Neodiprion lecontei: one gene and its partner. Each later gene encodes a partner of the first gene's protein in a complex. Links are inferred from orthologs where the notes say so. Each region holds a gene or a part of one and is shown in the gene's direction. Other genes may lie near its edges.

Region 1 (3,938 bases):
TGCGGCAAGTGAAGGACATGCCCATCCGCGAGTTGTTGAATTACCGAAAACAGAGGAGGGTCTTGGATTCAATGTGATGGGAGGAAAAGAGCAAAATTCACCTGTATATATATCTCGAATTATTCCAGGAGGTGTGGCCGACAGACATGGTGGTTTGAAACGTGGTGACCAGTTACTGTCTGTTAATGGCGTGGTACGTAATGTGAAATTTTTACATTGATGAAATATTAAGATTTAATCATACTCGAACGTTGCCATTCAAGAATTTATACGATGATACAGGATAGTGTAAATATTGTATTTTTCTCATTTCCTCTAGTGTATTGAAGGCGAAAATCATGAGACAGCTGTGGAATCGCTGAAACAAGCCCAAAACTCGGTGAAGTTAGTTGTTCGCTATACTCCTCGTCTTTTGGAGGAAATGGAATTGCGGTTTGATAAACATGCGCACCAAACTGCACGTAGGCGTCAACGTGTGCAGTAGACTGCAATGATTATTTTTATCACTACATATATATAGAATTTATGAATAACTGATATAGATACAATGTAATGTTACTTATATTAATTATTATAGTTTTAAGCGACAAATTAATATCTGGCTTAATTATCTTGTAATTCATCACCTAGAAATAACTTCTGTATGACCATCTCTCGTAAGAACATTATCAGTATTCATTAATGAACCGTTTAAAACCGATCCACAATATAATTAAACCCAATCATAAGTGTACGGGCAAATCCTCTAAACTTTAATTTCTTTTTAAACATATAAGTTTGAAGGAAATTCCAAGAGTGGACTCGTCTTGAAAAACCAAGCACTTTGTAATTGTCTTAAGCAATATTACACGCATCATTACTAAGCTTTCATAATTTCCCATAGTATCCAAATCTCAGAAGTGACATTCAAGCAACGAAAAAATTCATCCGTTTATCCTCAGTCATTGATTCTACGATGTCCTACATGTCTTGTTTGGCTTCCCTAGGGTTCGATTAGTCTGAACAGGGTCCATTGAATTAATTCTCGGATATAAAAATATTATGCTTCTAAACACGCGAAAAGATCTTAACTCTGATATACGTCGATGTAATTTTGCGAGTGGAATCGATTGCACGCGTCTAGGGTCGCTGCGAACAACGTATATTAGCGCTGCACGAAGCGCACGTGTTCAATATAGGTATAGGTCCATCTAGATAGAATTTAGTGGTCGTCAGCTGTGACAATCCGTATCACACCTAATTGTGGGGCGAGGTTATGTATGCGTGTATGTACGTACAATACATACGACACAGCCAACGCGAGCGACGGAGAGCCTGTAAAAATAGTGAAAATTTATTTGAAATATCCAATGAATTACACGAACTGTTGGAAAATTAACCCTTGCATCAAACGATGGCGCGAAAACAAGCCTTATCTCCGGATGTTGAAACATTGTTTTGGTACAGAAGCCAAGTCTCGAGCTGAAACAAAGTAACAACAAGCAAGATTTATAAAATTATTTAAATTCTTTCTACTTAACTGGGGGACATGCGTGTCATTTTTGAAACTTACTTTAAAGTGGTACAAAATCGATTTCATAAGGATTAACAAATACCTCCATAAAAGTGTAGTATCCATGTGAAAAAAAATCAATTTTCTATGGTGTCAATGAACACATCAGGAACGTTTTGAAAAATTTCCATTAGCTCGTTTCGAAATACTCCTTGATGCCAATAAATGTTTTAGGAAAAAATGGCGCAGTGTCGTTGGACTCGAAATTCACGCCCAAATTCAATCGAATTCAAAGTTATTTTCTGGTTCAAGCACCATGTATGGTTCCCCGATAAACAGTAACGTTTCATTCTTTGATTGTGCTACACCGGGAACACTACCTGTAAGGATAATCACTGATGAGTAAAGTTTCGTACTGCATCTGCTTTTTGCAGGTGAATTGCTTTATGAATTTGATATTATGATTTTTAGGTACTGAATAAAAGATGCGTCGAAGCAGGAATACTAACTGCTCTGGCGCTATCCTGCAAAGTAAACGAAGTATCATTGTTTGATAGAAAACATTATTTCTATGCAGATTTGCCAGTAAGTTGACTAGAAAGTAATTCAAATTTTGAACTTTATAAAACCCACTGTTTGAATATGGCGAACTTCATTTTTAAATTTGATGCAATTACTGTATGAGCTGTGGTTGGGCATATTGTCACGACGAGTTAATCTTCTAGACAGGTAGTATTAAATTGCTTGAGGCTAAATGATACATATTTACAGGCAGGATATCAAATAACTCAGCAACGTCAAGCCTTGGCTATAGATGGAGAACTCAATTTCCAAGTATATACACCGGGTATTCATCCACGACCCTACAGCAAAGTTTCTAAAATCAAGCAGCTGCAACTGGAACAAGATAGTGGCAAAAGCTTACACGATTTAATAGCAAAAAGGTGCTGTCAGAGATTCAATACCTATTTGCTGTAACTGTTGCTACAATTAAATTACTCTTAATTATTGTGGATATTTTGTTCGCTGGTAGACCTGTTGCTGAAGTAAAACAATCACTGACTTATATAAATATTCTCGTAATGCGTTCGGATTGTACATCATTTTAATATAGGTAAAACAAACCTCCTAACTCATCTATACAAATTTGGAGAAAAATTGTTTCCTGCTTATGCCAAAAGTATTGTCAAGTATTAATTATGTATGTCTTCACCGATTTATCTGCAATTTTCGCTTTCTCACTATACCATGTACGAAGAGTTTGGAAACCAAGTGCTAGCCATTATTATATATTGATTCCATTTCGTGAAGCGCACGAGTTTAAGCTGTTTCAGATCAATCTGTGTCTTACACAAAGCACTGCAGAGTACATTTCTAATTTTCATGTGTGTGAAATTTCTGTAAAAATTCTAAAAATCTATACCTACGTGAAGTCTTGAATGTCCTTGTTATATTTGCCCTGGCTTAAACAAAACTTGAGAACTCAAAATCGTTACCTTCTGAAGTTTAGCTTTAATTTCGATTATGCCTTACACTTTTGGGTCAAATACTTAAATTCTTTACTTTGTCTCAGACCATTATCAACTTGAAAGATATTAACAGACACTTACGGATTGAATTTTTATTTTATGATCAACAATAACAGAAGTTTGGTCGATCTTAATCGAGCAGGGATACCACTGATGGAATTGGTATTCGAGCCGGACTTATCAGATGGCGAAGAGGCTGCTGCGCTAGTCAAAGAGATCGTACTCATTCTGAAAAGATTGGGGACGTGCTCCTGTAAAATGGAAGGTAAAGTGGTATGAAAAAAAAGATTAACAACAAAGAAGTATGGCCATTACGCATAATGATCTGAATTCAGAGGGCGCCCTTCGAGTTGACGCCAATATCTCTGTGAATCGACCAGGGGAAAAATTGGGCACGCGAACAGAAGTCAAGAACATTGGAAGTATTAGGTCAGTGGCAGCTGCTGTAAAGTTTGAAATTGACAGACAGATTACAGAAATTGAGAATGGTGGTACAATTATTAATGAAACAAGGTCATGGGACACGGAAATTCGCAAAACAGTTCCAATGCGAGATAAAGAAGAAAAGCAGGTATAGAATGCATACTTTGAAAATATGGTATTTCTGTAAGAGTGTGTTGCGCAATTCTATTATAGCGGTTGACAATCTTGTCACATTTAAGTGACATGGCGATTCCGTTTTTTACTGAGAAGTCTTTCAACTTTTTACAAAATCTTCGTTTACTGTTGCAAACAGACTGTCAGAATTCCATTCATATGTGACGCTATTGTTAATAAGCTACTTTCAAAGACCTTTATACATTACGAATTGTAAACACAGCTCCTGGTTTGTAGTATAATAATCGCAGTATTGGTGGCACTTTACCTTTATTGTATTTTTGATGTTCTCTGGTGATTTTTCAATCAGAGTACTTTCC
Region 2 (2,724 bases), on another chromosome or scaffold:
AACGGACGCTTACTCATAACTTCCTCAATTTTGCTTCAATCGACTTGAAATTTTAACACAATATTCTTGACATATTGTGCAATCAATTAGAAAAATAAAAAAAAATTGAAAAAAAAAAAAATTTAATACCTTACCCCCCCCCTTAAGCAAATAACAAACTATGTTTTATAAACAATCGCCATTGTACTCCAGGTTAATAACGACAGTAGTCGACTATAATACATATGTAACTCTATATAGAAACAGCCATAAAACTAACAAACGACAGGTAACCAAAATGAAATATGGGCTTTGTAACGAGCAAGATAGCAAAAACATTAAGAGGTAGACAGGAAGAAGTTAAGTGGCTGAGGGGGTCCAGAAAGGGGGCTGGCGCCTCAACGAAAAGCTCACCCAGTTCGGAGAACTACGGAACAAAGCCCACGCACCTACACCACCGCACCGAGCAGCGTTATACCATACAAGACTCCATAATATATTATACCATACGTAAAAACCTACAATATAGTAATAGCTAATGGACTAAGATAACAGGGGTGCATGCACGAGGATGTCGTGCCCTAATTAGTTCCTAGGAAAAGGAGGGAGGTGCGCAAAGGTGACCAAAAAACTAAAGAGGGGGATCGTTCTGCGCAACGATCGCCCCCTATAAAAACGGCGACCGATCACTCGATCGTCCTCTCGGTTTCTACCTCCAGATTCGTGATCTTGTTCCGGTGCAGTCTCGCGGTAAAATCCTTTAGCCTTTTGCATTAAAACTTTCATACAACGTTACTCTGCCCAAAAGTTCAGCGAGCTTCAACTCCATTTTGTCATACTAAGTTTAAGATCTTACACTGTGTAACTCTGCGTTTGTGACTTTTAAATATCAAACTTATAAAATAAACCAAGTTAGTCAAAATATCCAAATATTAAAGTCAGTTATTCCGCTAAAACCTCTCACCAATCTACAAGCCATCGCATCCAGAATACTCTCAAAAAGGTAAGCCAAATTAAATCTTTTATCCAACAATTTCTCCCTCTTCTGTTCGTTCGACTAGAGCGACAGAATGCCCGTTGTCCGGTGTATTTCAATACTTAATCGGTAATTGGTGACCCAAACTACTGATGTGAGTCTAGCTGTAGCTGCGTGTGAATGTTTCCGGTGTCTAACATCTGGAGATTTCCACTAGGTACTGTTCCGACGTCACAGGGGGTCGCAGAGAGAGACAGCTCAACAGGGAATATTTGTCCTTTTCTGTACAGTCCCAACCAGAATGTTATCCTTGTAAACAAAACGCATGACCTGGCTATCAGCGGCATTAATGCATATGGCATGTGAATGTCACAATATTTCAAGCGGTGTACAATGTATTCAGTCATTCGCACTATTGTAAACTATTAGCCATCGTTCCTGTACACCTAAAACCACGGACTTACCCAACACTATCCTCACGCATTTCACGTGTACAAGTATGCGTTTTGATTACGAGGACAACTTTCTGGTTGGGACTGTACAGAAAAAGACAAGGATCCTCTGTTGAGCGATCTCTCTCTGCGAGCGAATATACTACCCCAACAGCGAGAGTAAGCGGTTCAGTATATCTCTATTTCAGTAGTTCTAACGCACGTCATTGCTAGATTTTCAAAGCACTAATGATCAGATTTGGACGTGTTACTTACAATGGATGGAATAGATTCCACCTGCGGCAGTTTACAACTAAATCATCACACGATACCGACAACTTCACTTTGGTTGTAGACAATAAGTCCATCGAACAACTGGAAAGGTTATCTTTGGTAAACTTCGGCAGCGCGGAAGGTATCGCCAGACTAGAATCCGCAATTACTTTTGCTAAGCAACTGTGGTTGGTAGAACTCAACGCCGACATCCAGCCAATGTATACCGTGCTCGAAAATCAAAAACTTAAACTTAGAGACGATCAAGTTTTCGATGGTGGTTACACCAAAAAGGTGTTGAAGAACGCCGCTTTAACAGAGGAAGATTACTTTATAGCTCCACCGGGCAACGTTCCCGTTAATCTCACTACCAACAAATACTAGCTACTGTAAATTCTATATGCAAACTGAAGCAGCGTGATGAAAGCCAATAAAATATTGTCTCTGCTAGGCACAGACTTTCTGACCGTTTCGGAAACAGAATTTATTTATGGCCCTTCTGGACGATTCCTTCTACGAAATGTCGAAGACGTTTGGTGGAAATATTGTGTTGTATCAGAAAAATACAACGTTTATCCAACTCAGATTTCTCAAGTCTCGAGAACCCTACGATATCTCAGGGACTCGAGATGTGACGGACTACCGTTCGGTCTAGCATCAATAGAAACAACTGAAAATGACCAAAGACAAAGCAAAATGCTTGACCTTCCGCTGCCTCCTTTATGCACAAGAATGAGTGTAATGACGTTCGGTGAGAAAACTTCGGCCAAAGATTTATTCTACAGGAAACAGAGAGAGCGCAAGGCTTGGTGGCGCAAGTTCAGCAATAATCCATCCCGATTTGTAACGACAAATTCTGAAAAAAATGAAAATCGTGAAGTTATGAGTATTCAAGCTCATTTGCCATCTCAAGATTTAAGTGTTGAAGTTGTATCATTTGGCAAAGTGGAATGTTATTTGCAGGTACGATGTAAATTCTTAAATCTTAACTATAATATCTGAATCTAATATATTTATTGCTATGAAGATGAAGTTAGTAACGTTACTGTAATGATGCATGTTTAC

What was found.
Region 2: glutamyl-tRNA(Gln) amidotransferase subunit B, mitochondrial (region 1) and glutamyl-tRNA(Gln) amidotransferase subunit C, mitochondrial share a complex: the UniProt entries of both Drosophila melanogaster proteins name them as parts of the heterotrimeric GatCAB amidotransferase (AdT) complex. The link is inferred for Neodiprion lecontei from reciprocal best matches to the Drosophila melanogaster genes GatB and GatC.

Annotation. Positions count from the first base shown.
Region 1 is NC_060261.1:6,985,501-6,989,438, forward strand, and holds the start of glutamyl-tRNA(Gln) amidotransferase subunit B, mitochondrial, read left to right. Parts: upstream 1-853; 5' UTR 854-1,259; coding exon 1,260-1,471; intron 1,472-1,726; coding exon 1,727-1,874; intron 1,875-1,963; coding exon 1,964-2,077; intron 2,078-2,263; coding exon 2,264-2,436; intron 2,437-3,137; coding exon 3,138-3,286; intron 3,287-3,356; coding exon 3,357-3,592; intron 3,593-3,938. Other genes in the region: protein lin-7 homolog C, read left to right, coding at 1-193, 320-484. UniProt on the Drosophila melanogaster protein: Allows the formation of correctly charged Gln-tRNA(Gln) through the transamidation of misacylated Glu-tRNA(Gln) in the mitochondria. The reaction takes place in the presence of glutamine and ATP through an activated gamma-phospho-Glu-tRNA(Gln).
Region 2 is NC_060262.1:16,883,701-16,886,424, forward strand, and holds glutamyl-tRNA(Gln) amidotransferase subunit C, mitochondrial, read left to right. Parts: upstream 1-1,260; 5' UTR 1,261-1,635; coding exon 1,636-2,043; downstream 2,044-2,724. Other genes in the region: DNA polymerase subunit gamma-2, mitochondrial, read left to right, coding at 2,080-2,622. UniProt on the Drosophila melanogaster protein: Allows the formation of correctly charged Gln-tRNA(Gln) through the transamidation of misacylated Glu-tRNA(Gln) in the mitochondria. The reaction takes place in the presence of glutamine and ATP through an activated gamma-phospho-Glu-tRNA(Gln).